Linked DNA regions of Elephas maximus indicus. The protein of the gene in region 1 binds, or shares a complex with, the protein of each later gene. Links are inferred from orthologs where the notes say so. Each region holds a gene or a part of one and is shown on either strand. Other genes may lie near its edges.

What was found.
Region 2: STRIP1 (region 1) and STRN4 share a complex: the UniProt entries of both Homo sapiens proteins name them as parts of the core of STRIPAK complex. The link is inferred for Elephas maximus indicus from reciprocal best matches to the Homo sapiens genes STRIP1 and STRN4.
Region 3: STRIP1 (region 1) and STK24 share a complex: the UniProt entries of both Homo sapiens proteins name them as parts of the core of STRIPAK complex. The link is inferred for Elephas maximus indicus from reciprocal best matches to the Homo sapiens genes STRIP1 and STK24.
Region 4: STRIP1 (region 1) and STK26 share a complex: the UniProt entries of both Homo sapiens proteins name them as parts of the core of STRIPAK complex. The link is inferred for Elephas maximus indicus from reciprocal best matches to the Homo sapiens genes STRIP1 and STK26.

Annotation. Positions count from the first base shown.
Region 1 is NC_064821.1:171,316,028-171,324,290, reverse strand, and holds the start of STRIP1 (striatin-interacting protein 1), read left to right. Parts: upstream 1-4,782; 5' UTR 4,783-4,806; coding exon 4,807-4,986; intron 4,987-7,093; coding exon 7,094-7,166; intron 7,167-8,135; coding exon 8,136-8,210; intron 8,211-8,263. UniProt on the Homo sapiens protein: Plays a role in the regulation of cell morphology and cytoskeletal organization. Required in the cortical actin filament dynamics and cell shape. Part of the striatin-interacting phosphatase and kinase (STRIPAK) complexes.
Region 2 is NC_064829.1:102,263,663-102,271,287, forward strand, and holds the start of STRN4 (striatin-4), read left to right. Parts: upstream 1-4,258; 5' UTR 4,259-4,393; coding exon 4,394-4,675; intron 4,676-4,764; exon of another isoform or gene 4,765-4,802; intron 4,803-7,625. Other genes in the region: ribitol 5-phosphate transferase FKRP, read right to left, coding at 2,916-3,063. UniProt on the Homo sapiens protein: Calmodulin-binding scaffolding protein which is the center of the striatin-interacting phosphatase and kinase (STRIPAK) complexes.
Region 3 is NC_064832.1:93,223,247-93,230,594, forward strand, and holds the start of STK24 (serine/threonine-protein kinase 24), read right to left. Parts: upstream 3,296-7,348; 5' UTR 2,432-3,295; coding exon 2,354-2,431; intron 1-2,353. UniProt on the Homo sapiens protein: Serine/threonine-protein kinase that acts on both serine and threonine residues and promotes apoptosis in response to stress stimuli and caspase activation.
Region 4 is NC_064846.1:24,086,613-24,094,498, reverse strand, and holds the start of STK26 (serine/threonine-protein kinase 26), read left to right. Parts: upstream 1-4,620; coding exon 4,621-4,638; intron 4,639-7,024; coding exon 7,025-7,255; intron 7,256-7,886. UniProt on the Homo sapiens protein: Serine/threonine-protein kinase that acts as a mediator of cell growth. Modulates apoptosis. In association with STK24 negatively regulates Golgi reorientation in polarized cell migration upon RHO activation.

The DNA.
Region 1 (8,263 bases):
CTTCAGTATGGATTGCACCTCAACATGAAGAAAACAAAAATCCTCACAACTGGACCAATGAGCAAAGATTGAAGTTGTCAAGGATTTCATTTTACTTGGATCCACAATCAACAGGCATGGAAACAGCAGTCAAGAAATCAAAAGATGCATTGCATTGGGTAAATCTGCTGCAAAGGACCTCCTTAAAGTGTTGAAGAACAAAGATGTCACCTTGAAGATTAAAGTGCGCCTGACCCAAGCCATGGTATTTTCAATCACATCATATGCATGTGAAAGCTGGACAATGAATAAGGAAGACCGAAGAAGAACTGATGCCTTTGAGTTGTGGTGTTGGGGAAGAATATTGAATATACCATGGACTGTCAAAAGAACGAACAAATCTGTCTTGGAAGAAGTACAGCCAGAATGCTCCTTAGAGGCAAGGATGGTGAGACTGCGTCTTACATACTTTGGACATGTTTTCGGGAGGGATCGGTCCCTGGAGAAGGACATCATGCTTGGCAGAGTACAGGGTCAGCGGAAAAGAGGAAGACCCTCAACGAGGTGGATTGACACAGTGGCTGCAACAATGAGCTCAAGCATAACAACGATTGTAATGATGGCTCAGGACTGGGCAGTGTTTCGTTCTGTTGTGCATAGGGTCGCTATGAGTCAGAACCAACTCGATGGCACCTAACAACAACTCTCTTTCTGTCTCTCTTTAACAATGCTTCAGTTTCCAAAATGACTTCACATAAATTAACTCATCTAATCCACAGTTCATAAGGCAGGTAGAACTATTTGACAGATAAGGAAAGAAGGAATAAAAAAGTCTGAAGATGTTTCTGTAACTTCTACCCTCTATTCAGTTGTGCTTTTCTGGTAGCTTCTTAGCAAAAGAGGGACATGTTTGGCTCCCTCTCCTATGGGATTATTTTTCCTTCCAGATGCCAAGTGAAGCGTAGTTCAAGGAGCTTTTGCCAGGTAAAGTGAGGACTCTCTGGGACTCAAAAATGGTGCCAGTTTAAGTAGTTCTATTTAGAATTCATGACCTGGTCACAGCTTGGGGACACAGCACTTCATTCAGGAAAGTTTTCCACAGAAGCCTCTCTTTTTTTTTTTTAACTTTAGGTGAAAGTTTACAGCTCAAGTTAATCTCTCCTACAAAATTTTATACAGGTATTGTTATTTGACATTAGCTGCAGTCCTTACATTGTGACAGCACACTCCTCCTTTCTACCTCAGGTTTCCCGTGGCCATCCAACCAGCTCCTGCCCCTTTCTGCCTTCTCATCCTGCCTCCAGATAGGAGCTGCCCATTTGGTCTTGTGTATCTGCTTGAACTAAGAAGCACACTCTTTAGGAGTATTATTTTATGTTTTATAGTCCAGTCTAATCTTTGTCTGAAGAGTGGACATTGGGAATGGTTTTAGTTCTGGGTTAGCAGAGCATCCGGGGGCCATGGCTTCAGAGGTTCTTCCAGTCTCAGTCAGACCATTAAGTCTGGTCTTTTTATGTGACGCTTTTTTCCCACCCCGTCAGGGACTTCCTGTTGTGTTCCCCGTCAGGGCGGTCATTGGTGGTAGCCGGGCACCATCTAGTTTTTCTAGTCACAGGCTGATGGATTCTCTGGTTTATGTGGTCATTTTTTTCTCTTGAGTAGTATTTCCCTTGTGTCTTTGGTGTTCCTTCATTCTCCTTTACTCCAAGTGGGTTGGGGCCAATGAATATATTTTAGAGGGCCGATTACAAGCTTTTAAGATCCCGGATGCCACTCACCAAAGTGAGACGCAGAACATTTTCTTAATAAACTTTGTTATGCCAGTTGACCTAGAGGTCCCCTGAAACTATGGTCCCCAGACCCCAGCCCTGGCTACTCTGTCCCTTGAAGTGTTTGGTTGTATTCAGGAAACTTCTTAGCTTTTGGGTTAGTCCAGTTACCACACAAGCATTTATTTAAAAAAAAAAACAAAAAAAAAAGCCGTGTTACCTGTGGATATTGAATTTGAACAAGCAAGAAAAACTGGAAGCAATGCACATGTCCATCAACAGGTGACTAGATAAGCAATGGAATACTACTCATGAGCTTTGATACCTTGAATTTCAAAATAATTATGTTGAATGAAAGGCTAAAAAAAAAAAGAATACATAATATGTGATTCCATTTATATGAAATTGTAGAAATGCAAACTAATCTATAGTAACAAAGTTTTTCAGTGATTGACTGGAAATGGGAGCAGTGGTAATGGGTGGGGGGGAATTACAAAGGGCCACAAGGAAACTTTCTGGGGTGATGACTATGTTCATTATCTTGATGGTGGTGATGGTTTTATGGGTGTTTTTGTATGCTAAAACTTACCAGATTTTATACCTTAAACATGTGCTCAACAAAGCTGTTAAAATAGATTGAATATAAAAATTTTGAAAACACAGGAAAGTACACAGAAAATGAAAATAACCTATGTTGCCACATATGTTATCACATCGATTCAGAGATAAAACCTATTAAGAGGTCAGTGTATTTCATTCCAGTCTCTTCTCTATACACACACACACACGCAGAACCACTTGTGTATTCAATTATATCACAGCATTTTTCCATGTCTTTAAAAATTCTTCTTAGTATTATTAAGCACAAATATTAGTGGTCTCTCCATATTCTATCCTATGTATACCCGTTATTCAGTTAGCCACTTTCTTATTGGCTGTTTCACAAATTTGGTTAGTCCTAACTTTTCATGTTTGAAAGTATCACTGCTGGTAACATCATCATACATATATCTTTGTCTAAATATGTGATTACTTTCTTAGGATCTATTCTTGGAAGTGGAATTACTGAACCAAAACCTTCCCCTTTCCTGAATGTAGTTGAAACGGTATAGGGCATTGGAAGGTCTAAAAAATAATTTTCCAGGTGATAGAGTTTATGATAAGTCAGTCTTAGAACTTGACCAAGCTGTGTTCACTGAAACTAGATGTCTGCTTGCATGCTGGGCTGTGTGAGATTACCGATTTTATCTAAGAAGTCTCTCAACATTTGTCCTTTTCCTGTAAATTCCTTAGTTTTTCCTATAAAGTTGGCTCCGTTCAGCTTGGATGAAATGCTAATTTAGAAATGGTATTACTGGATATGAGAGGGAACTGGGGCAAAGGACAGGAAGGTAGGTAGGAGAAAACAGCAACATGGTGGCTCTGGATTTATTAATTTACAACAAAGGCTTTTTAAGCACCTACTGGGTGGGACAATGGGGCCCTGGTTGTGCAGTGGTTAAGAGATCATGCTGCTAACCAAAATGTCTGCAGTTCAAATCCACCAGCTGCTCCTTGGAAACCCTATGAAGCAGTTCTACACTGTCCTATAGGGTCGCTTCGATCAACTCGACGGCAACTGGTTTGGTTTTGGTTTAGGTGGGACAATATTGGTCCTGGAGAGACAAAAATGGATAAGGTGTCTCCAAGCATGTCACAACATAGTAACAGGTAATTATTACATATCACCTCCTAGATGTCTAATGAGCATCTCAAACTTGACATGTCCAAAACAAAAATCTTCCCCAAAACCTGTTCTTTCTCTAAGGCTTCCCTATTTTAATAACTGAGACAACCATCCACCCAGTTGTTCAAATAAAAAATCTAGGACTCATCGTTTATTCTTCAGTGCCTTATCCTCCACATTCCAGCTTATCAGCAAATCTTCTCAACTCTACCTACACAATATAGAAATATCAGCCTTAGTCCAAACTGCCATCATCTCCATTAAAATGGCCTCCTAACCTGCCTACCTTCATCTACTCTCTCAACTCTCCAATCCCTTATCCAAGAGGAGCCAGAGTGGTCTTTCAAACATCAGATCATGCCACCACCTTGGTTGACACCCTCTGATAGTTTTCCGATTCACTTAAAATCGAAGCTCCTTTCCGTGACTTTGAAGGCTCTGCCTCATCTGACCCTCATCTCCTTCCACTTTTTCCCGGACTCACTCTGTTCCAGCCACAATGACCTCAGGGCCCCCGACACGTAGCTGGTCCTTCTACCCGTGTTACCGCCATGAACCTTTACTTCTTCCAGAACTCATTAAAAGTGTATCTTCATGTCTGTCTTCCTTGGCCAGCCTACTGAAAATAGTCGCATTTCCCCTTCCCCAGTCTCCAGCCACCATTCACCCTCTAATCCTTTACACTTTTTTGTTTCCTCACAGTACTTTTTTCCCTGTTATGTTTATTTGCGTGCCTCTCCCACTAGGCTCTATGTAAGTACCCATGCAAAAATTTGACTTGCTTCCCATTTTTTTCCCATTCTATCCCACTGCCTGGAAAAAATGGAGCAGAGGAAATATTCATTAAAAGTTTGTTGAATGACTAATTAGTACTTCTCACTACTGTAACTGCTTTATTTATTCATCTGTTTGTTTAGTGTATGTCTGTCCCCATGTGAATGTACACTCCAGGAAAACCAGGACTTTGTTCATCTTGTTCACCGCTATATCCCCAAAGCCTGGAACAGGGCTATAACAGAGGTAAGTGCAAAGCGAAGTTACAGCGATGGAGGGGGCAAACTAAACTAACCGAAGGAGCCAAGGGGAGACCTCACAGATAAAAATGACATTTAAATTGGGACTGGAAGGAAGACGTGGAAACAAAAAACGCAGAGAAGGAAAAGAATATTTCAGGCAAACGGAATCTCGCGAGGTGACGGGCAGTCAAGATGGCGTCCAGCGCCTGCCGCCACACGTAATATGGCGACCAGGGAAAGTTCCTGGAGGAAATCACGCGAGAATTGGGTCACGGCGACAGTCCGAGAATTGAGCCGGGGGTGTGGAGCAGCCAAGATGGAGCCGGCAGCCGGCGGCCCAATCCCGATGATGGTGAACAACAAGCAGCCGCAGCCGCCGCCACCTCCGCCGCCCGCATCCGCGCAGCCTCCACCTGGGGCACCGCGGGCCGGCGGGGGCCTCCTGCCCGGGGGCAAAGCCCGAGAGTTCAACCGCAACCAGCGCAAAGACTCGGAGGTCGGGAGCTCGGGGGGCGAGGCTGGCATCGGGCGGGCGGCTGTGGAGGTCCTGGACTTGGGGCCGCTCTGGGGTCTAAGCTCGCTTCCTAGAGCGGTCGACGGGCCTGGCCGGGAGGCTGTCACTTTACGAGAGAAGCAGGAAGCAAGGCTGGCACCCCCCTCGGGCCGGGGGCGTGAAGCCGGGATCCCGCCCGGATCCCTGCCGCACGGGAGAACCGCCCGGAGCCGGGTGATCGCTGGTTTGCTGCTCTGGGACGGGGCTGTGGGCGCTGCCTGGGGGACCCAGCCCCTAGGGAAAGCTCCCCATCCCAGTTCGCGGGTGAAGAGTCAGCGGTCTTCGTGCTCTCTAGGGGGCCAAGGTGGCTGCGCCCCCATCCCCTGATCGTCGTCTCTCGGCTGCTGATCCCAGGCGCGCGGGCGCCGGGTCGGTGGATCCGCAGCGCGCTGTGGACCGCGTGTGTGGGCAGGGAAGGGACTGGCCAGTGTTTAAAAGGCTCTTTGAAGCCGGACGGAGCTAATTATCACTAATAGTACTAGCTCCCAGAGGTTGCAAGAATGGGAGGGAGTAACACTCCCTGTTTCTCTCCTTAGCAGGCTCAGGCCATGATGTGACAGTGTTTGGTGGCTGCTGTGCTCAGTGCGCCTGATGCTGAACTGTTAAGATCAGGAATGTACATTTTCAACGTTCCTTAGGGCTCCTCTTCCCCCTCCCCTCTTGCTAGTGGGCTGTTCCTCCAGTACCAGAGACTGTAATCCTCTAGTCTGGAGCTGGTCGATTCGTAACCTCACCCCGAGTTAAAGAATTCCTCCCACTGCCTCCTTTTGTAGAATTCATGAATGAAGACACACACTTGGCAGCGTTTTAGGACTTCTTAATCAGCATGTTCCCAGGCACTTACTATGAGGTCGGCTTCACCTGAGACAACTCAGAGGAAGCTGATCAAGCGGTCAGGCTCTTATTTATGAGCAAGAATTCATCATTGTCCAAGAAAAACTATCGGGTCATTCCAAAGAGTGATGATACTATCTTTAGACCTGTGAAATCAGTTCCTCGCAGACTTCTGTTTTTTGTTGACGGTCCTAAAGTCTGGTAAAATATGTCAAAATTTGGCAAGTCCAAAGTAGAGGTACCCTGAGCTTGAAGTGAATTGTTTAAAAATCAAAGAAATTGACCTTTCAGGAACCCTTGCATGGTGGGGTGGTGGGAGGGCCATGGCGAGGACTTGATACCTTTTTAGGTGTGGAGGGTTGTGAAAATGCACCTCTCAAGATGGTGTCTTCTTAATAATCACCTATTCCTTTGCCGAATTCTCCTCTGTGTGGGGGAGGGAAGCCATTCTGTGAGGCTGCTGCCTTTTCCGTCTGTCAGTTCTCACTGAAATTGGGGAGAGGGACAAGAAGGCTGAAGCGCTTCAACACCCACTTTGTCCTGAGCTGCTGATAGCCCAGTAGCCAGAAAGACGTGAGACTTCCAGAATCTTAGCACCGTGCAGAGTGGTCATTCAGTGCACAAAATACAGAGAAGCTTTGTGTTCACTGATCTAACAAGCACTTATTTGAGACATAAACTATTAATTCATTCACTCATTCATGCCAGGTACTTTGCTGGGCATTGTGAAATCTTTGGTGAACAAAATGGACAAGTTCCTGCTTTCAAGGAACTTGCACCCTCCTGGAGAGATAGACACTAAACAAAAATTCTGACACCGAAAAAGTGCTATGAGGGAAAAGTATAAGATGCTCTGAGAGGGTTCCCTGGGTGATGCACGTGGTTAATGTGCTGAGTTACTAACTGAAAGGTTGGAGGTTTGAGTGTACACAGAGGCACCTCAGAAGAAAGGCCTGGCAATCTGCATCTGAAAAATCAGCCATTGAAAATCCCACGGAGCACAGTTCTACTCTGACACACATGCAGTCGCCATGAGTCAGAATCGATGACACCTGGTTTCATAAGCTAGGACAGGAAACAAAGTATTTTGATAAAACATCAAAAAAGTGGAGACAGTGATGTTCTATAACACAACATTGTGTCTGGAGAGCATATGTCTCTTTCTTTTAACAATGCTCGGAATGATCTTTTGCATAAAGCTCTCTCTTTTTCTCAGCAGGGCTATTCCGAGTCGCCAGACCTTGAGTTTGAGTATGCAGACACAGACAAGTGGGCTGCAGAGCTCTCTGGTAAAGCACAGAACTTTGTATTGGTTGGGAATGGAAGAAATAGATTTTTTTTTTCCTTATCGATATATTCTTTCAGAAAATTAAGAGTGTAAATATATTTTGGAAGTTTCTTTTTCTTTAATTAGTGCTACTAATAAGATATATAAAACACGTAACCGTATTTTTACATAAATGACGCGTGCCTTCTATGTTTGTTTGCCAGCCTTGCCCTTTCCCTGGGAGATATTTTCAGCTGTCAAAAAAAAAAAAAAGGTAGCGTAGTGTGCTTATGGAAATACCTGGTAGGGGGTAGAGGGAGTGTGCAGTTGGCAAAAAAAAAACACAGAAGGTATGCATTATTTGTGTAAAAATACAGTAATTTAATTCAAGCCTTCAGTGTCTCATGACTTGGGGTTGCCCATCACTTTTATGAAGCATCTGTGTGTAGTCAGCTCAGTTAGCTGTAGGGTTCAGTCCCAATGTGGGGACAGCTAGTGATGTTCTCTCCATAAATTATCCCCCAGCAGTGATCTGTCCTCGGGCAGTGGGTCACAAGGGATGCCAGCAAGTGCGACTATGTCAGTGCATACCCATCGCTGCTGCTGCAGCACACCTGTGATGTGAGGCCAGCTTAAGCTGTTTCTCAAGCCTCCATAGTACAGGAGGTAGTGCCTACTTGAGAGACACATGTTCAGGGTAGTGGTCACCCTCAGGTATGGCATGGAGGGATGGATGTGCATCAGACTGGAAATGCCCGGACTTCTGCTTAACTGGAATTCTGGTTATCAGCTGCGAGGCAAGTCAGCCTTCTCTCATCACACACCTGAGAGCGCTAAGGCCCCGTAGGTAGTTAGCATAATCCAGGAGTCACTGTGACTCACGGGCAGAGTTAGGACTGCAAGCAAATGCCTTACCTTCCCTGCTGCACGTGAGAGCTGGGTGTGGAATGCGGACATGGAACGGATGGTGATGAGACTTTGTTCTTGGCAGAGCTTTACAGCTACACAGAAGGGCCAGAGTTTCTGATGAATAGAAAATGCTTTGAGGAGGACTTCAGGATCCATGGTGAGATGATTTTGCCACTTACTTCCTTTCATTCTGCACCACCAGAGCTGCCA
Region 2 (7,625 bases), on another chromosome or scaffold:
CCAACTCAGACAGCACTTAAGAATCTGAATTGCACATTAGGAGTGATTTTCTAATCTTTAAACAAACAAAAAACAAAAAGTTGCCATCAAGTTGATTCCAACTCCTGGAGACACCATGGATGTCAGAGTACACCTGCGCTCTGTAGGGTTTTCAATGGCTGTGATGTTTCAGAAACAGATCCGCAGGCCTTTCTTCTGAGGTGCCTTTGGATGGATTCGAACCACCAACCTTTATGGTTAGTAGCCAAGCACTTAAACTTTTGCACCATCCAGGGGCTCTTAAACCAAAAAAAGCCAAACCCACTGCCGTCCAGTTGATTCTGACTCATAGCGACCCTAAAGGACAGAGTAGAACTGCCCCATAGGGTTTCCAAGGAGCAGCTGGTGGATTCGAACTGCTGACCTTTTGGTTAGCAGCCATAGCACTTAACCACTACACCACCAGGGATCCTGCCGGGCACATTACAGGGGCTTAATAGTGTTGAAAGAATGAAATAAATTATTAAGATGGGGAACGTGTCACTCAGAGACAGAAAAGGACACAGAGACCAGAGCCCAGCCATGCTATGTCTGCAGACTCTGGACCAGGAGGCGTACCCCAGGACAGGCACCAGGTCCCCAGAGGGTTTGATGCCCCGATGAGGAGGTGCTACCTGCTGGTGAGGGTGTGAGGGGACCAGAGAGGAGAAAGGAAGCCTTCTGGAACCCTGACAAGGTCAGTCTTGGCTTCCCTAACTGTGTTGTTGTATACCATTGAGTCAGTTCTGACCCACAGCGACCCCATATGACAGAGTAGATCTGCCCCATAGGGTTTCCTAGGCTGGAATTGTTATGGATGCAGATTGCCAGGTCTTTCTCCCACAGAGCTGCTGGGTGAGCTTGAACCACCAACCTTTCGGTTAGCAGCTGAGCACTTAACCACTGCACCACCAGGGCTTCTTCATTGGGGCACGGCGTATGGAATGATTTTGAAGGTCCAAATATTCTACATTTTTTTGAATCAGGATGATATGATAGTATCAACAATTCTACCAGCTCACAATGTACCAGATCCTGTTCTAAGCACTTTGTATGTATTCACTTGTTTAATCCTCATGTAATGGTCACACTTAGAGATGAAGAAACTGAGGCACAGAGAAGTGAAGTCACTTGTTCAAGGTCACACAGCTGGCCTTAACCCAAAGAAGGCTGGCTCCAGAGTCTGTGCTCTATAAACCAATGAACTCCACTGTCTCTCACTGGTCCAGTCAGCCAGCCTGACCCTCAGTCTGTCTTTGGCATACCTTCCCCAGCCCTAACCATTCAACTCATCAACTCGACAAACAGATATTTATCAAGTGCCCTCTGTGCCAGACCCTGTGTTCTGGGGACACAGGGATGAACAAGATAGTCACTGGGTGTTATGGATTGAATTGTATTCCCCCCAAAATATGTGTTGTAAACCCTAGACCCTATACAGGCAGTCCCTGACTTACGATGGGTTTCTGTTCTGATGAGTCTGTCGTAGGTCGGTTCTGACATAAGTTGGTGTAAGTCAAATATCTTTTTTTTCTTTTACGTTTTCATAGCCTGCTATATATGGCAGTGTTTTGAACACACTGAACCTCTGCGAGTGAACGTCTGAGAATGACATCAGCATATTACATGCTGCGACACTGTATGTAGTACGTTACTAATGATAAGATGTACCAAAAAGAAAAAAAGAAAAATGGTTGTAAGTATGGTTCCTCATAACTGGAAACTCAAGTATATCATAAATCGGGGACCACCCGTGGATACGGAATCCTGGTGGCGCAGTGGTTAAGAGCTATGGCTGCTAACCAAAAGGTCGGCAGTTTGAATCTACCAGGTGCTCCTTGGAAACCCTATGGGGCAGTTCTACTCTGTCCTACAGGGTCACTGTGAAGCTATGAATCGGAATCAACTTGATGGCAACAGGTAACCTGTGGATGTAATCCTATTTGGGAATAGGACCTTCTTTGTTATGTTAATGAGACAACATTAGTATAGGGTGTGTTTTAAGCCAATCAGTTTTGAGATTCAAAAAGAGATTAGGCACAGAGAGGGAAGGACAAACACAGAAGACAGACATCACAAGATCTCCAAGGAACCCTGGACCAGAAGTTTAATAAAATAAAGATCTTTTTCCAGAGGCCACAGAGAGGGAGCCTTCCCCTAGAGCCAGTGTCCTGAATTCAGACTTCTAGCCTCCGGAACTGTTAAGACCTGGCAGCATTTTGTTCTGCTGCCCATAAGGTCACTGTGAGTTGGAACTAACTCCACAGTACCTAACGAAGATAGACTGTGAGAAAACAAATTTCTGTTTCTTAAAGCCACCTACTTGTGGTACTTCTATTATATCAGCACTAAGAAACTGAGACACTGGATCTGTCCTGGCAAGGTAAGAAAAAAAAAAAAAAAAAAAAACCCACAGGTGTCGAGTCGATTTTGACTCATAGTGACCCCATAGGGTTTCCAAGACTATAATCTCTACAGAAGCAGACTGCCACATCTTTCTCCCAAGGAGCTGCTGCTGGTTTCAAAACACTGACCTTTAGGTTAGCAGTAGATCACTTTAACTGCTGCGCCACAGATAAGGAGGAAAACAGAGGGCCGTAACAGAGAAAAACAAGGGGCTTGCTTTAGAAAATGTGGTCAGGGAAGGAGAGGACAGTTAAGCTAAGACCTTATTTGTCTCCCCATTTCCCACAAAACATTTTAAGTGGATCCCAAGTCACTTTAGGCCTGGGTTCCCTAGGCCCGAGCTTTGATCTGGCCTGAGCCTCAGTTGCTGCATCTGTAGGATAGGAATGTGAGGGTAGAGAAAATGAGGTGTGTGGGAAAGGCTTTGTGAAAGAAGACACGGCAGTTTCTATGCAAGTGCTGGAGGCATTGAGAGGCTTTTTTTCTCTTACCTCCTAGGTTGCACGGTGGGGGGACTCCCGGGGGGTGGTTCCAGCACAGCTCAGCTGCATTGCTGTGGGAAGGAGAACCAGAGAACCCCAAATCAGCCAATTCTGGAGAATAGAGCACCTGAAAACCAAAAACCAAACCCACTGCCATCACGTCAATTTGAACTCATAGTGACCCTATGACCCTAGGGCTTCCAAGGCTGTAAATCTTCAGTGAAGCAGACTGCCACATCTTTCTCCACTGGTGGGTTTGAGCTGCCGACTTTTTGGTTAGCAGCTGAGTGCTTAACCACTGCACCACCAGGGCTCCTTAGTACACAGCACGGTTTCATCTTATCTACAAAAGTGGCAACAAGAGGATCGGGAAATCCTTTCTCTGGATGCCCCATAAGCTCAGGCACCACCTGGCGCGTCTCAGGAGGGGGAGAGGGTGGAGTGGGAAGGATGTCAGTTACCATAGCAATCTGTAACCTCCCCTCTCATGAATGTGTCCAGAAAGGTGGGGCTAGAAGTGACAGAAGCTGTTACCATGACAACCCCTTCCCTAGACATGTTCCAACTCAAAAGACAATCCTAAAATGTCCCCTACCTTGGTAGGGTTCTGGGGCCTGGTTCTAGGGTCACTGGAAGGGGACTGACCCTGCTACCATAGCAACCAGGGCTTGGTTTTGCCTGTTTCTCACCTCCCTGGGGATGGTCCAGGCCCTGTAACCATAACAACTACTCCTCATCAGAGCATCTCTTCCTCTAAATAAAAACACCTGGTTGGTTTGGCCCAGGGGCCTCCCACGAAGGAAAAGAGGGTGATGGTTACCATGGCAACTCCAACTGGGTGGTGTGGGGGGTTAAGGAAAAGGTGCTTCTCAGCCATTAGTCTTCTTGGGGCTCGGGGTCTCTTCTACCTGGGTGCTAGGTGAGGAGGAATGCCATAGTAACCGAGGTCGGTCGTTAGGGGCAGAAGGCCCATCAGGACCAAGATTACCTTAGCACCTCCTCCAGGTATGTGGGGGTCCATAGCCACAAAGGTGGGGGAGAGGAAAGACGCGCGGGGGGGGGCCCTAGGCTGGGGGGAAGGGTTACCATGACAACCGCCCTGGGCCAGGAAATCAGGAAGGTGCCACGGCCGAAACCACCCCCCCGTGGTCACCCTTTCTCTCAAAGAGCGAAAGTGATTGTCGAGGGGAGTGGTATTTGGGGCTGGAGAGGGTAAGACACTCTCTATTGGGCGACGCGAGAGGAGGGGGCAAAAAGTGGCCCCTCCCAAAGACTCGCTTCTCCGAACGGGGAGCCTCGCGCCCCGCCCACCCTTCCCGCCCACCCCCGCGCGCGCTTTCGGGGTCGACCCCGGTGGGCGAGGCGCGCGCCCGGCCTCGCTCTCGTTTGCTGCCCCTCCACCTCCCGCCGGGCGCGCGCGCAGAGGTTGGCGCGGCCGCGCAGGCGCGCGAGGCACAGCGGGCGCGCGGGCCGGCCCCGGGGCCTCCATGATGGAGGAGCGAGCGGCCGCTGCGGTCGCCGCCGCCGCCTCCTCCTGCCGCCCGCTGGGCTCCGGTGCGGGCCCTGGCCCGAGCGGGGCGGCCCCGGCCCCTGCCCCTGCCTCCGGGCCCGGCCCGGCAGGTAAGGGTGGTGGCGGCGGAGGCAGCCCCGGGCCCACAGCGGGGCCGGAGCCCCTGAGCTTGCCCGGGATCCTGCACTTTATCCAGCATGAGTGGGCGCGCTTCGAAGCTGAGAAGGCCCGCTGGGAGGCCGAACGCGCCGAGTTGCAGGTGAGCGCCGCCCCGGGACCCCGGCACCCCCACCCGGCCCCCCGCCCGGCCCCCGGCCCCCGGCCCGGCCCGGCCCGGCCTCGCCTCACCCGCCGCCGCCGCCGCCGCCATCTTGGAGCAATGGCCGCCGGGACAGCCGGGGGGGCGGGAGGGGACCGCTGCCGGCTCGCACAGGGAGTGAGGGGACGTCTGAGGGGGATCCTGAGGGAATCTGGGGGCTGGGACCGGCTCTAACTGGGTGTAGGGGAGACCCGGGGGCCGGAGGGACCGACTGGGACCGGCAGAGAGAAAGGGGCGGGAGGAGACCTGACCCGGCCAGCAGTGGGAGTGAGCCGCCCGGCCGAGGGGTTCCCCAGGGAAGGGGACTTGGGGCGGGAGGGGAACCTAAGGGAACTCACAGGAAGACTGTGAGAGGCGTTTGAGGGGTCTGAGAGAGATCCGAGTGGTTTCGCATGGAAGTGAGCAAAAGCTTGCAGGCAGCCGAAGGGGTACCGAGGGACTCCCACCTCCTCCCCGACCAACCGAGGGATGGAGGTGGAGTCTGATGGTTCCGGGTGGGAGAGAGGGGATGTCTACGAGGACTTGGGACCCGCTGAGGGCGCGGACGAGTCCGAGCGGGGAACCGGGATGATAGAGAGGGTGTCAGAAGCCTGGGATGGGGCATGTTTGGGAGCGTTTGGACGGGAGCACTAAAAGATGTCTGTGTGAGGACTGGAGTTAGAGGCGGATCCGACGGGTCCAGGATGGAGGTGTGTACCCTCCCCTGTAGGGAGAAAACTTTGGCGAGTTGTGGCATGTATGGTCACAGTTTGGGGAAGGGATCCTTTGCATGGAGATTTGGACAGGGCAGAGGATGTCCCCTAGGAGCCTGTGTGGAAGAGCTTGAGAAGGAAACTCCAGTTTGGGGGTGTGGAGGAGTAGGGGGCTGGCCGTGAGACGGGAGACGTGCGGAGGATGTTAGATAGAGAACCTTAAGCTGGAGAGGTGGGGTGTCAGGCATGCATACTGTAGAAAGGAGGAGACCTGGGATGGGGGCAGTGAGGAGGCATCTGGGGAGGAGGCATCTCAGAAGGATCCTGGGGGAAATGTGTTTGTGGAGTAGTTTGGAAGAGGGATGTGCCCTGGGATGATGGGTGGAAGCAGCCGGGGAGTTGGGCTGGGTTTTGTGACCTTGAGGAGCATGGGTCCATTTGCACAGTGCTTATTTTTTTTTAGTGGATCCTGGGGATCAGAGATGTGAGAATCTGAAGGGGTCCAGGGACAGCATGAGGTGTCTGAGGGTTCCTGGCCTGGGGTATTATTGGTAGAGGTTGTCAGTACCTGCTTCTAGCAGCCCGTCTTTCCTCAGCTGATTTGCTGTTTCCTATGTACCTGAGGTGGAGACTTAAATAAATAAATAACAAAAATTTTATCTATAGTGTGAATAGAGGCCTCTCTCCTCCAAATTCAAGGTATCTGAATACATCCCACAGTTCTCCGACCCCACTGGGCATCTTAGCTGTGTGGTAGCGGAGGTTCGGGGCTGGGCTGGGGGAGGAATCCTTATGTAAGTGCCCCTCGCTTCTGTGTTCATTTCTGTACTCTTCAAGCTCTTTCCCAGTTTACATGCCATTGGATCCTCTCAACACCCCATGAGGTAGGCAGGGCCATCGTCATTACCCTCATAATGATAAAACCAAAAAAATCAAACCCATTGCTGGAGAGTTGATTCCGACTCATAGCAACCCTGTAGGACAGAGTAGAACTTGCCCCATGGGGTTTCCAAGGCTGTAATCTTTCCGGAAGCAGACAGCTGCATCTTGCTCCTGCAGAGTGGCTGGTGGGTTCATACTGAGTGCTTAACCACTGTGCCACCAGGGCTCCTTCGATAATGATAGCAGCTGCCAATTATTGAGCATTTATAATGTGCTAGGCAGTGTATTAAGTACTTTAAATACACGCTATCATTTAATCCTTGCAATAGTCTGGGAGAGTGAGTGATATTTAGCCCCTCCCCCCATAAAAAAATCAGAAGAGGAAACAGACTTGAAGAGGGTAAATAATTTATCTAGGATCACAGCCCGTAAGCGGCAGAGCTGGCCTTTGGACTTTGAACCCATGTTCCGTACCTCTCTGCCACCGAGTACAGATGAGAAGACTGCCCTAGGGAAGCTCAGTGGCCTCCCAGAGTCACCCAAACAGTCAAAGTAGAGCTTGGACTGAATCCTGGTCTCTTGGGCCACACGCCTGTGTACCCGGCAGCACCCACCATACCACCTTCTCATCTTTGAGACTAACGAGTATAAAAACGTATGTGTACTCCCTCACGTGGTGACTCTTGAAGTTTAAGAGAACAGGTGGGTGGCACCCAGGAAGGCTGACCCCATCACTTACTTTGTACTTTTCTTTTGTTCTGTTACCCAGTTGCTGTGGAGTCGAGCTCGTGGCAACCCCATGTGTGTCAGTAGAACCGTGCTCCATAGGGTTTTCAGTGGCTGATTTTTCAGAAGTAGATCACCAGGCCTTTCTTCTGAGGCGCCTCTGAGTGGACTACAGCCTTTTGGTTAGCAGCTGAGCGCGGTAACCATTTGCACCACCCATGGATTCCTTTTGTTCTGTTACACACTAGTAAAAATTCAAACATCTCACAAGTGTACATATGATTAAAAAGGGAAAGCCCCCCCCTTGCTCCTTCCTTCACCCCTTCCTTACTCTTCTCTCCAGCACTTCTCAACGGTTATTTCTATAAAAGTAGTTCAGTTGTATGTGTGTATTTAATATATGAGATAATACTATCTGTATCACTTTGTGTCTTTCCTCATTTAATGATGTGTCATGTTCCTTTCCTATCCTCACACAGCTCTTCTTCATTATTTTTGATAACTACATAGTGTCCTGTTGTATGTTTGTCCCACCACTTATTTAATTTGACCCCTGTTGGTGGGTTTTTAGGTAGTTTCTGATTTTTCCC
Region 3 (7,348 bases), on another chromosome or scaffold:
TATTTTGTTGCATAGTGTCTGGGGTCTTAAGAGCTTCCAAGCAGCCATCCAAAGCACAACAACTGATCTCTATTTACCCAGAGCAACAGAGGAAGGAGGAGTCAGGAGTAGGAGGAAGATATGGAATGTGTGCCTAATTGTCTCCATGAACGACTGCCTCCTTGACATGAGACCAGAAGAACTGGATGGTGCCCAGCTACTATCACTGAACATTTTGATTGAGGATTTCATAGAAGAATCCTGATCAAAGGGGGGAAAATGTAATACAGAATTTCAAATTCTCATGGACTGTAGAATTTCTGGAGCCATGGAGGGCAAATGAACCCCTGAAACTATTGCCCTGAGATAATCTTTAAACTTTGAAGCAAAAATATCCCCTGAAGTCATCTTAAAACGGAACAATAGTTTAGCTTAATTAACCAGTAAAAAAGGTTCGCCTTGAGCATTATGCTCTTTACAAACTACCTAAAGGGATCAGACTAACAACAGTAACTTGAAAGGTTAGATAGGAACCTTAGGGGGCAGTGAATTTATGTTAATGGGGGAAGAACAACTCAGAAAAGGAGGGTGAGAATGGTTGCCCAACTCAAAGAATTAATCACTGTCACTAAATTGCACATGTAGAAACTATTGAATTGGTGTATGTTTTGCTGTGTATATGCTCAACAACAGCAACAAAAGAAATAAAACTTTGAGAGAAACACAAAATGCCAATGACACCCTGCTGAGAAGCACTAACCTGGGCCAACAGAACCCCACAGGATAAGGAGTTGTCAACCCTACAAAATACATCTTCTCTCACAAACATCCCCTATGAGGAAGAGGATTCCAGGCTAACCCTCAGAAGTCTACTAATCACTCAAAGAAACTGAAATATTATGAAAAAAGAAACAAGGGGGAAAAAAGGATTGAAAATGAGAAAAAGAAAGACAAGAAAGAGAAGGAAGAATAAAGGGAAGATGAGATACCCATAGACCAGCAAACTGAAGTGGGTCATCTACACAATATTAGGGTAGTCTCAGCAGCATGCTGACAACTAACAACAACGAGTTAAATGAGCTTTATGGGCTGACCAGGTGCTAACCACTAACTTGCTTTCGAAGGTGAAGCACACTGAGCTCCAAGCAAACCGACTGAGAAGGAACTCGTCAAAAACAGCACATTTCCAATTTGGAGGCCTTGCTGTGCTATACTCTACGTGAACCAAAAACCAAAACCCAGTGCCATGGAGTTGATTCCGACTCATAGCGACCCTATAGGACACAGCAGAACTGCCCCATAAAGTTTCCAAGGAGCGCCTGGCAGATTTGAACTGCCAACCCTTCAGTCAGCAGCCGTAACACTTAACCACTATGCCACCAGGGTTTCCATAGTCTACATACACTGTGAAAATAACATACCACGGTCATACAAGGGTGACTTTGTTAACACAAAGTGAGGTAGAGTCCAAGCGCTATGGTGAGGCTTCACACTGAGCAATGTAAAAGCTCATAAAACCCAGCAACCAAGTCAGTAAAAATGAACAAGGTACGCTCTGGGGTTGCTAGGAAAAAAAGGACACGATAGAGACGGTGTCATTTAGAGTTCTGCCTGCTCTGGAAGTGGGCTGGCCTCCTTAATGTATGGTTTAAAAAACTGCCAGGAATTACAAGTACCATACTTTTAACCAGGATTCCCTTAGCTCATAAAATGAAACAAACATTCATCTGCAGAAAATGAAACTATCTGTTCACCTTCATTTCCACTTGAAGTACTGCACTAAATACATCGACCGGGTTATTAATATTGAGATGCATTTTTTTTTCTTAAGCAATTTCTAAACAGTTTTCAATCATGGAGTTGGGTTTCTAACGTCTTTTATATACCAAATGGACCCAGGATGCCTGAATATGCATTCCAGACTTTACAAAACACTGACCTTGATTCCTTGGTTTACCAAGATAATCACTGACAAGCAGTCAGGAGCCCTGGGTAGTTTTTATTAAGTGAGGATTGTTTTTGAAGCTAGTGGAAACCCCTAAAATATCCTCTATTCATACAATTAGAAATAAGAATTACTGTTTTCAAATTTATAAAGTACTCCAAATTAAGAACCCTTCAAAGCAATTTTGGGGGCCACTCCCACTGAATCCCAAGGAACCCTTGGTGGGTGTGTCCCATTCCACTCAGCCTGCATACACCTGCCCAGACTGAATCTCCACTGTCACCGTCATCTCCGACACAAACTGCTAAGGATTAAAGGATTCTAGGGGGTGGGGAGACAGAAGAAACATTCATTTCCTTATTTAAGTACAAACAAATACAGCAGTGAGTGGCTGACGCTCACTTTCCACAGCTACAATCTTTCCCTTACCTCCTTCCTCCCAGGATGAGGTAGGATGACCCTCTTCTTTTTCAAGACCAATCCTAAAAGCTGGGCTTTAGAATCCATCCTTCTCTCCTCCAGGATACAGCTTCACCAACTTCAATTTATCCCACTCTACTGGCTCTTTGCCCTTGTCATATCAACGTGCTCAAGTTTCTTCAGTAAAAAAAAAAAGTCCTTGACCCTGGTCATTCCTTCACTCCTTCCTCTGTAGTTCCGTTCAAGAGGAGGTCCCCTGAAAGTCATCAGGACCAGCCAAGTCTCCACCTACCACCGGACTCACTCCTCAGCCCACTGCAGCCTGGCTCTGCCCTCATCACAGCCCTGAATCAGCTTTCGCATGGGCACCGATGACGCCATTTCTGCATCTCCTCTGTGGCAAGCTATACACTCAGTAGCCACACACTCCTCTGAACTTTCCACTCCCTTGGCAGCTGCAACCCTGCTCTGCACTGTCTTTGTCCAACCTCCCTAGTCCTTCTAACAGAAATCTTCACTTGTAGACTCTACCCTTGCCAGACCTTCCACGCAGACAGTCCCCAAGACTCTACACCTGGCCTCCTGTCCTTCCCAGGGTTGTCATACACAGGCCCATGGCTGGGGGCCGTGCTTCCCAAACCTGCCTGGTGAAAGTCACCTGGGAAACTTAAAGAAAGAGATCCCAGCACGCTTGCAGACATACATGGGGGAAAGCACACAATCCACCTTTTAAAATGCTCCTATTGATCATCATGAACAGCCATCTCAGTAGAGAAACTGTTTAAAATTATTGTGTAAATGATAACTTTCAAATTGTTATCTCCAGCACTGCCTTTTGAGTTTTAACTCCTAGTACCAATTACTAGATATTGTCTCTCTCTACCTGGACATCTCAAGGTCAACATGGACAGAGTGAATCTGCCATTTTACCTGTTGAACTGGACCCTCCCTGCCATCTTCTCCCTGCTTCTCACCCATCCCCTTTTTTAAACTCTGTATCTACGGCATGTCACTGATGGTCAATAAACTTTCCCTCAACAATAAGGAAACCCCAGGTTTACAGTGACACAAATGAGATTCTGGTTAGTATTACAGAGAATATCCTAATTCAGAGAGACAGGAGGCCCTGGGAAAAGGGGCATAAGGATGACAACATCTCTGGCTAACAAGGGTAAGGAACAGGTGATGAGGGCCTGACTTTGCTAAGTTGGGAGCAGTCGTTCGCAAATCTCAGTCTGCATCAGGGTCACCTGGAGGGCTTGTTAGAACACAGATCTGGGGAGGGGCATTTCCAGAATTTCTGAATTTGGTAAATGTGGGGTGGAGGCCAAGAATTAGAGAGTTTCCAGGAGATGCAGATGCTGGTGGTCCAGGGATCACACTTTGAGAGCCGCTGCTTAGACAAAACGTGAAGAGAAGCAAAACAGCTTTGACAAGTCGATGTGCCACTAAAAAATGACTTGTTTTAGGTCAACTTCAACCTGACTATTCCCCTGCCCATATTAAGAAAAAAAGTAGCATGTCCTTTCTGAGAGTTAAATAAGAAAAAGAAGCCAACAAGAATTTATCCAAGCCCCTACAATGCTGGAAAGGTGCTTGACTGGAAACTCTGATAGACTGCCATGCCTCCCAGTGCCCACACCCTCTTTACACCATGGCTTTGGCACTCCTCCCTCCAAGTCAAGAAATAGAGTCTACTTCCCCATCTCTTGAACCTTGGCTGGCCTTGTTACCTGTTTTGACCAGTAGAACCTGGCAGATGTGATGATGTGGGGCTGCCAAGCCAAGGCATCAAGAGGCCTTGCAACACTCCCTTCTTCCAACCGTGCGACGACCAGGCAGTGAAAAAGCTCAGAATCAAAGACCGTGCAGTGAGCGAGGCCCATCCCAGCCACTTCACTGATCCTACTTCAGATCCCGGATATGTGAATGAGGTCACCATAGACCATCCAGCCTCAATCATGCAGCCACACGCTCACTGTAGCCACTAGCTGATTGCAGCCACATGAGGGAGCCCGGAAAAGGCCAGCAGAACCGCCCAGTCAATCCACAGAATGGTGAGAACTAGTTAATCGTTGTTATAACTAGGTTTCAGTTGGTTTGTTATAGGAAATAGATAATTGATACAGAAATTGATACCTAGAAGTACGGTAACAAAAACCACCTGTTGCCATGGAGTTGATTCTGACTCACAACAACCTCATAGGGCAGAGTAGAACTGCCTCATAGGGTTTCCAAGGAGCAGCTAACCTTTTGGTTAGCCAAGCTCTTAACCAGTGTGCCAGTACTGCCCTTAAAAGAAGCCTAAAATATGGAGGCAGTGGCTTTGGGACTGGACTGGCCAAAGGCTGTAAAAGCAGTGTGAGGAGGCCATTCGCACAGGGTAGAGGAATGGCAAATAAACTGTTAGTGCAGGGAGAGGTGGTAAGAAACTTATTAGAGGCTGGTAAAGAACGACCCATGGTATGTAGTGGCGGAACAATTAGGAAAATGTCACTGCAGGAAAAAGGAAAAAGAACTGCAGGAAAAAGGAAAAAGAAATGGCTAAAGAGATTTCTAGATAGAATGTTGAAAGGACCAACGAGGTTTGGTTTTGTTTTGTTTGTTTGTTTTGCTTAGTAGGAAGAGATATATACTAAAGCAGGAAGTGTTCAGTTTAAAAACAATTTAGAGAAAATACGGAAATATGGACAGGACTTGCTGGGCTACAAAATAAAACTGTGCTTTACCTAGGAGTTCCTCAAGCCAGTAAAGATCCTAAAGGAAAGGCCTTAGGGTAGAGATCAAGCCAAAGGTGTGGCTGTTAAGCTCCTTCTTCAAGACCCTGGAAAATTCAAGGCAGTGACCAGTAGAGACTCTCAACTAAAAATGGGCTTTTAACAAACTTAAGGACGTCATCCAACCGTGCCCTGACACACTTCCAAAGTAGAAAGATACTTATATCTCAAAAGTACTGTAGATGTGGTGTTTATCCAGTTAGTGGACTATAAACTGGTACACAGGAAACCCTCAATGTTTTTAATCAAATCTGGATTAAAAGGCAGCGAGACAGTTCATATCAAAATATCCTCTAGGTCCCCAACTTTCTACAAGCAGGAAGCAGGCTGAGAAAGCTACTAAAGAGGATGTAGCAAAAGTGATGTTGTGAGCATCTGAGGACAGGCCTGGGAGGGCAGAGCCAAGAGCCCAAGACTCCCAGAAAACCAGCTAGGGAACCACGCTGCTGCGGTTGTCAGGTGCTGTGGCATACCACTCTCAGAAAGCAAACCTGAGCCTCAATTAAGAAATACTCCCTGCTCCGCATGGACGGGACCCAGGCAGCTTGTGCCACCTGGACTGCTGAACTGCTATGTACTCTTTAACTCCGTTTGTTTACTGATATATGCCTCTCACGCCTCCCCCTCTGAAACAGAAGTATCCCCTGCAGTTATTCTGTTCCTGTCTTGCCGCTGTTCGCGGGATATATGGGGGGGCAGGTACGTCTTTCTCCTTACACCTCTCTGAATCAAGAGACCATGCCCACGGAGTTGCCACCTATCAGCTCCCATGCATTCAGACACAATGCAGATGAGAGATTACAGACTGAGTCGGAGGCTACGCCAGGAGGAAAGGAGGGTACGGGAGAGAGACATGCATACCTTGCATGTGGGAGAGACATCGATCCTTAGGACCAGAAGGCAAACTGGAGTCAATAGTTACAGTCAGGGCCCCAAAAAAACGACCCCGGCTGCCATGTCCATTGCCTTGGTGGCTCAGTGGTTAAGAGCTCAGCTGCTAACCAAAAGGTCAGCAGTTCAAATCCACCAACTGCTCCTCAGAAACCCTATGGGGCAGTTCTACTCTGTCCTACAGGATCGCAGTGAGTCCGAAACAACTCGATTGGCAACAGTTTTGGTTTGTTGTTTTTTTTTTTTTGACCACCACGTCCACACTCCTATGCAACTCTACCTCCTCCTTCCACAAAAAGGCAGAGGCCCTTTCCCGCCCCCTGAATCTGGCCTCGCCTTGTGACTTCCTGTGATGTTTGCTATTTGCAAGGTCAAGCCTTAAGAGAATCTGTAGGTTTCACTTTTGACTTCTTGGAATGCTTCCCCAACACATAAAGAGGCCCATCTAGCCCAGGACAGAAGCCACACGTGGAAGAACAGAGGTACTAAGGTAAACACTCCGGCCCACTGCTGGGCATGGAACAAGGTGCTCAGCCTACCCACCTCTCTGTTCCTGCTGAGCCCTGGCCCCAGAAGTCTGCCACTACGGCCACATGAGTGAGCCCAGGCGAGACTGCAGGAGGACCCCCAGTCGACCCAAAGAATCTCCAGAACTCCTGAGTCATTCCTGTTTTAGGCCAGAAAGTTTCGGGTGACTTGTTACACAATAATAGATAGCTGAATTCAGTATTTTTCAGTACAGTAGGAAAACATCCATTCCTGGAGGGAAAAAAGGCAGATGTTCCATGCTCTGGGAGGGGGGGAAGGTGTTTCATTTTAATAAACTGCTTGTTTTTCCCTTTTCCTAGTCTAAGACAGCTTAGGAGACAGCTGTTCCTACTACTTTTACTATCCTCCCAGAAGACCTTCTCCAGGAGCCTGCCACCTGTAAACTTAGCCATAGTTTGTTTCACGTCTGCTCACGAGCGTTCTGTCTCAGTAAGAGCTCTACTTCGCTGCTGTAAACTTGGCTACGAACTGCCCTTGGCAAGCAGGGAGACATCTGCCAAGGCAGTGACCACAGGGCACTAAACAAGGCAGGGCTCAGCCATGGCCAGCATTCCGTGCCCGCTGGCAAGTCTCACATAAACTCATTGTCACACAACACTGTCCCGCGGCCATAAGAAAACCAACATCGAAGATGACTGATTTCAAAAAGGAACCTCAAGATTGTATTGTCAGAATTTGTTCTCTGAGGAAAGCTGGTCTCCTTGGTAGAAAAAGTGCCTTTTTTGCCAACTATTTTGAGAATTCTTTTTTAGAAAGGTTTATCCTGAACTAAGCACTGCTCAGTCTC
Region 4 (7,886 bases), on another chromosome or scaffold:
TGGTGGTGGTGAAGGGTTGGATTAAGTGACCTATATGTTTCCTTCCAGCTTTAAAAGCCTTTACTACTATAGTTCTGTCCAGGGAGAAGTCAATTGTGCTTGGATCATATCTGTTATTGTTGTTGTTAGTTGTCGTTGAGTCAGTTCCAACTCGTGGTGACTCTATTTGTGCAGAGTAGAACTTCTCCATAGGATTTTCGAGGCTGTGACCTTTCGGAAGCAGATTGCCAGGCCTGTCTTCTGAGGTGCCTCTGTGTAGGTTCAAGTGCTTAGCCATTTGCACCACCCAGGGACTCCAAGGTTCATATCTGGCACTTTAAAAGATAGCGTCCTGTGATCCTGAACTCAAGCAGTGCTAAGAAGTATGTGGTTGTTGATTTTAAATCTTATTTTTTTTTCTTCTGGCAGTAATTTCACTAGGAATATTTTCTTTTTTTCTTCTGGCAGTATCTTCACTAGGAAATACTCAACAAACTTTTTAGGCAATAGTCATAGGGCAAATGCGAAATCTTAATATAGGCGATCGTACTAAAACAGTAATTTAAGGCTCATGAAACCACAAGAGAATGACTTTTATTTATATGTACTCTGCTTATTAGATAACAGGTAATAGTAGTAATCCAGAAAAGTATTTCATCTTTGGAAAAAAAACCAAAAAACCTGTTGCTATCGAGTCGATTCTGACTTATAGCAAACCTGTAGGACAGAGCAGAACTGCCCCATAAGGTTTCCAAGGCTGTCATGTTTACAGAAGCAGACTGCCACATCTTTGTCCCGTGGAGTGGCTGGTGGTGGGTCCGAACTGCCGATTTTTCGGTTAGCAGCTGACCACTTAACCACTGCACCACCAGGGCTCCTTTCATCTCTAGCTTGGAAGAGTTAATCTGCACAATTTAAATAGGTAGCTGACTAGGTGTAGCTCTCGTTAGTTTTTAGTACATTTTGTTAGGCTAAAGTTTTTAGTTACTGCCTGCGATTAATTGTAAGGATAGCCTGGGTTCACTACTGGTCACTCCTGCTACTTCTACTTGAGGATTTGAAGGGGGTAGGAAGTCTTCCTTTCTAAGCCTTGATACCAATAGCACATTCTTTGCTAATCATTTCCTGCATACCCTCCTTATCAGTGAGTAGGCAAAAACACTGGCTAGTCCTTGAAAAGTGTAAAAGTATCTTATAGCTGAAAGCATTCATAGTACGGACTTTATAGGACAGGGAGGAAGGTACAAAACATAATCTGAGTTTAGCCTTGCTCAGCTTGATTCCAATTCTTGAAGGTTCTTTCAGGCCACCTGCGCTCAACGCTTCCTGGTCAAATTCTCTGAGAAGTCTACCTTCTCTTCCCTAAATCTATTATGCTTTCATTCTCAGTCCCAGACAACTGGTCTTATTTAGCTCCCCCAGATTCAAAGAAATTAGATTCTGTATCTTTGGGTATTTCTCACCTTTGGCTCTCCAGGTCTTCATTCTGGTAGAATCCCAAAGTTAATTCTAACTCTTCCTGCAGTCTTCTTATTTCTCCTGATCACTTATTTTTTTTTTTAAAGTATTTTCTTGCTATTGTTGAGAATATACACAGCAAAACATACACCAATTCAACAGTTTCTAGATGTACCATCTAGTGGTACATCCTACCCCTGGTAACCACTAATAAACTTTGTTCTCTGTACATTTGCCTTTTCTTGTCTTTTTATATAAGTGAGATCATACAATATTTGTCTTTCTATGATTGACTTATTTCACTCAGCATAATGCCCCCTCAACAAGTTGGACTCCTTTTCTATTAACTGACTAGATCTAAAATTTTACTCTTTGTCAGTGTTGGAAGTTACCTTAAAACTCTGTCACCAGTCACAATATACCCTAATATTACATGGACTATATTGGGTAAAAAGATGTTCAAGAACACATACACGGAGTTGCTTGTGTTTTGGTAAAGATTATGTTTCTAGTCTTATTTAAGGTTAAATAGTAATTCTAGACATGAATACTTAGAAGAAGTACTAAAAGCTTAAATTTTTAAGTACTGGTTTTTTTGGGGTTATATATTTTTTTATGTATATAGGAAATCCTGGTGGCATAGTGGTTAAGAGCTACAGTTGTTAACCAAAAGGTCAGCAGTTTGAATCCACCAAGTGCTCCTTGGAAACCCTATGGGGCAGTTCTACTCTGTCCTCTAGGGTTGCTATGAGTTGGAATTGGCAACAGGTTTTTTTTGGGGGGGGGGGGGGAGCGGGGGGATGATATGTATATATACCAAAGTTCTCTTGGTTTTATTTTAATCTCCAAGTTGTTCATGTCTAGTGTACAGGGTTAGAAGAGAGCTGTGTGCTTGCCTGAGAAAAAGAGGGTAATTAGTTTCCTTTTAATCCTGGATACAAATTTCAGATCTGTCTGGTCAGTGGTTCCCAAAGGCTGATCTCAACACTGATACCAAAACGACTGTGTAAGAATCATTTGGTGTGCTTTAAAAAAAAAAATGCTGATTTATGGGCTCCAATCTCAGAGATTCTCAATCAGTAGGTTTGGAGTGGGGCCTAGGTATGTACATCTTTTTTAAAAAAAACTGTATAGGTAATTTCAATGTGCAGCCAGGATTGGCAAGCACTAGAGAACCTTTAAGAGTTCTTCTAGCCGTCTGTTTCTATGAGTGAGTAGGCAAGAGGCCTTCTCTCATCTGCTGCTGATTTTCCACAGGCGACGGGCAAGATGACCGCTTTTCATTTTTTCCTTTGGGGCTTCCAAAGAGTATTCCCATACTGATTAGTAGTAGTCGTTGTTGTTGCTTAATGGTATTAATACCTTCTGTCTATGACTTACTGGATTCCTGGTGGGCTGGTGGTTAAGCATTAGGGTGCTAACCCAAAAGGTCAGCAGTTCGAATCCACCAAGCACTCCTTGGAAACCCTATGAGGCAGTTCTACTTTGTCCTATAGGGTCGCTATGAGTCAGAACCAGCTCGATGGCACCTAACAACAAGAACATGCAAGGGCTGGGTTGGGCCTATGACTTAAATTTGTAACAGTCTACTTACAGTTGAAGTCTCCAAATCCATACCAAAGGACCAGTAAAGAAGGTCCAGGAATAATGTGAATGCCCTAAGGTGGATCTCAGAGGCTTTCATTTTCATAAATCCATTTTTGCAGGGCATATACAAATCATACACCATTTGTTGTAAATTAATATGAGGTTAATTTAGTGGTTCCTACTATTTGCTACAGAATTTAAAGCTCCTTTCTGGGCTACTGCTTCCAGAAGGCAATGCAAACACAGATGCAACAGTAACCGTTAATTATGCATAAAAAGGTTTAGAAATTTTAATATTCGTAAAAGAATATTTGATTTAGGTATGTAGAGAGCTGACTTGATTTTCTTCGAGAGCTGTCTTGATTTTCTTCCAGGCTCTGAAGAGTAGTGTGAATGATTGAGCAAACCAGTTTCTTTATACAGATGGTCTTTTAATTGCATTCTTTGGGATTTTTACAAGTTATTTACTTGAATTTTGCCCTTTCCCTAAAAAAAAGAAAGGAAATCTGTCTTAATAACTACTTAGGATACCTTGATTTAATAAGCCAGTGAGATGGTGAACAGGAAATTAGATCTTTGGGATTATCTGTGAAAGATTTGGAGTCTCTGGGTGGTACAAATGGTTAACATGCTCAGCTCCTAACAGGAAGGGTGAAGGTTCAAATCCATTTGTAGATGCCTTGAAGAAAGGCCTGGCAATCTACTTCAGAAAAATCAGCCATTGAAAACTATGGAGCACCGTTCTACGCTGAGACACATGGAGTTACTATGAGTCAGAATCGACTAAATGGCAACTGTTTTGTTTTTTAAATCAGGGATATAAAACAAAACAAAACCCATTGCTGTTGAGTCAATTCTGATGCATAGCGACCCTATGGGACAGACTAGAACTTCCCAGAGAGTTAGGAATTGATAAATAGGACAGGGACCTGTATCCCTCAGGGAGATGAGGAGTGGGAAGTGCAAACGTTTCTGTCTCCAACTTGGTATTCCTTGATTGAAAATCTTTAACTATATTGATGAGTTGGGATTCACTTCAGAGCTTCTTTAAAACGCAAAATGTGACTTGGTTTTTAAGTCTTTGATCTACACACTTTCAGGAACTCATTTAGTACAGAAAGCAAGGAACAGCTTTATCCCCCCTGGAGCTGATTGTTTTAGTCATAGCCTTTTAAAACACTAATTAGGAAGATTGGGATTTAATCTTTGTTTTTTACAACAGATGATTTTTTTTTCTTTTAATTTTTTTATTGTGCTTTAGGTGAAAATCCAACTGACAATTCTTGTTATAAGTTAATGAATATACTTCTCAATCCAGAATGTGTTATCCATTTCTGTTTTAGAAAGTACATATATATTTTTAACCAGCGACTTATTTCCAAATTTTAGACTAGCTTTGCAGCTGCATCAGGACAACTGAAAGATTATTTCTTTTTATTTTTCAAAGCCCACTGAATTTAGGAAGTTATAGGGAGGCAAACCCATCACTAAGATATTTGATGGGTATTTTTGCCACAAGGTACTAGAAAGGCAACAACCATCACCAGAAGTAGAAAGAGGTAACTGTGAGTTAACCACTGTGTAATAGTAATCAGCATGAAGTACAATGTCATGGTAAGAGAGAGAATGCCAAGGAAATTAATAATGATGGTACTCAAGTTTTTGAGAATGTATTATAACAAAATATGAGCGTTAAAGAGGCATTTGCAACCTACTGGAAGTCTAAACTAGTTTTAAATGGATATATGGGAAACTCAAGATATATTTACTCCGTGTGGGACTAGAGGTGGGTAGGAATACACAAGTAGCTTGCAACATCAGAGACTGCTACGTGGAAAGGGCATCTTTCAGAAAAGAACAAAATCCAATCAAGGAGAATGGGGAAGCTTATAACGTAAGCAGGTCGTGTGCAAACTGTACTTTAAGCAGGCTGAAAAAAGAAAAATTGGTGAAATTCTTTAAAAGCAGTCATAAGTCTTCAAGTTACCTCAAAAGGAGGCAGCTCACTGGAGTAGCAGTGGATCTATTTGGTAATCATGGCACCAAGAACTTGATCAGAGACAAATAATAAATTTTAATGGCCTATTTGTCTAGTAAAGGAAGATACCTTTGTTGTTGTTAGGTGCCGTCAAGTCAGTTCCAACTCATAGCGACCCTATAGGGCAGAGTAGAACTGCCCCACAGGGTTTCCAAGGAGCTGCTGGTGGATTCGAACTGCCGACCATTTGGTTAGTGGCTGAGCTCTTAACCACTACACCACCAGGGTCCAAGGAAGATATTAGGAATGTGCTAACTCTATAATTATCTCTTGAAACTGATGGCTAAGTAAAATGGTGGTAAATGAACAGATATTCTAGGCCTGACTGGCAAATTAAATATAGACAGCTCACCAGAGCTAGATAGAATCCTCCTATATTTTGAAGGTACTCAAAGTAAAATTTTAGATATAAACTAATAAAGCACTTAAGTATAATTTATTAAACTGTCTTTTCGGTGGGGGAGGGAGACTCAATCCTGAGTTTCTACTTGGTCAGTAGTGTATCTTCAATATGAGTTAACGTAAAGATATAAAGATTGTTTCATCCAAGTGAAATTTTAATTCAAAATTGTATATTACAACATAAAGGATATAGTTTCTGAATCAGAAAAGAATATCAAATGTATAAATCTAAGTCATGCCTGTACATTTGTTAACCTAGAAACCTATGCTTGAGTTCAGGTTTTATCGCAGCAAAGTGTCGACTTCTGTATTCTCACTGTGAGATGAGTTGTGAAAGGAATTGTGACAAAGGAATAATAGCGTCTTATTTCAGCCTTGGACTAGACCAGTACGTGCCGATAGGATCCTGAGTTTTTGTTTCTGTTTTTTTTTTTTTTTTCCTTAAGTTTAAATTCTTGAATCTATTGTGTTCTGTGTCGTTTGGATGGTGGTTTGGAAGTATACGGGGAATGATTGAGATGTGTGAGTTGGGGAATAAATTACCACAAACTAGGTGGCTTTAAAACAGATATTTATTCTCTCACAGTTATGGAGGCCAGAAGTCTGAAATCAAGGTGTCAGCACGGTTGGTTCCCTCGGAGGCTCTCAGAGTCCATTCCATACCTGTCTCCTAGCTTCAGGCGATGGTTGCTGGCAATCCTTGGTATTCCTTGGCTTGTAGGTGCATCACTCCAGCCTCTGCCTCTGACTTCTCCCCTATATGCGTCTCTACCTCAAATCTCTCTCTGCCTTTCTCTTATATGAACACCTACCATTGGACTTTGGCACAGTACTTAAGTGCTCAGTCACTAACTGAACAGTAGGCGGTTCGAACCCACCAGCCTGTCTGTGGGAGAAAAATGTGGCAGTCTGCTTTCGTAAAGATTACAGCCTCGGAAACCCTAGGAGGCAGTTCTACTTTGTCCTACATGGTTGCTGTACATTAGAATCGACTCAGCGGCAGTGGGTTTGGGTTTGGATCATTGGATTTAGGGCCCCCCCCAGAAAATCTAGGATGATCTCATCTCGAGATCCTAACTTAATTACCTCTGCAAAGGCCCTTTTCCCAAATAAGGTCACATTCAGAACTTTGGGGGGGTTAGGATTTGGGCATATCTTTTGGGGGGCCACTATTCAACCCACTACACTTAATTTAGCTGTTCTCTCTCTCACCATTGCTACCCTTCTATTAAAGTGTAAACTGAATATGACCAGCTGCTGATTCTAAGAAGTGCTTGATCCTTTGGCAGGGAGCTCAGACAACATTTGCTGTATGGGATTGTTTGTGGTAGGAAGATCAGCTAATCCCAGTTAGTGTGAATGATTCAATAGAATATAGACTAGTGGATCATTGAGGATTACAATTGTTCTAACAAAGCACATGCGGCAAGTCAAAGGACTTCTTTTTATGCTTTTAAAAAATGTGTTACTGTCTTATGTGATTTATTTTTCTTCATTTAAAAACATTTGATTCAAAGCACTTGTCTTTTTTTTTTCCTCTTTATCTCTTTTCCCCCTTAGAATAATATAGCCGATCCAGAAGAACTGTTCACAAAATTAGAACGCATTGGGAAAGGCTCCTTTGGAGAAGTTTTCAAAGGCATTGATAACCGTACCCAGCAAGTGGTTGCTATTAAAATCATAGACCTAGAGGAAGCCGAAGATGAAATTGAAGACATTCAGCAAGAGATAACTGTTTTGAGTCAGTGTGACAGCTCATACGTAACGAAATACTATGGGTCATATTTAAAGGTAATATGTGTGCTATATTATTTAAGTCATAAGGTATTTTCATTATAAGTTTAACGTATTATTATTTCTTTTTAACTTAATGTTTTTTTTTAATTCATTTTTTTTTGAAAGGTAATGTCTTAAATTAAGATTTGGCAGCCTTTGTCCCCCAGGCAGACCCCAGCTCCATTTATAGTGCCAAATAGACTGTTGTTACATTTAGCAGCTGTATCCTGAGTGCATCCCAGTTCTCAGCTGCACCCTTTTTCCACACCTCAACTTTTGGTGGGATGAAGGAGCAGAAATGCAGCTGGACCTTCAGATGTATCCTTTGTCAGGAAAGAGCTATACCCCTGGGCTTTCACACATGACTCTCCATGGTTCTGCCTGTCTCAACCTCAGAACTGATGGAAAACGTAAGCATATCGCTTACTTCATTGAGTTATGGGAGGTTATTTACATACCTGTCTTTCCCGCCAGGTTGTGAGCTCTTTGATGGCGGAGATTTTTGCTTAACCGTTCTTGATTTTTGTATCACTTAGCACAGGACCTGGCACATCTTAAGCTCATGATAAATATTTGCTGAGATGAAATTAAATGGAATAATATCTGCCCCCACCCCCCCAAAAAAAAATAAGTTGAATTTTTACTG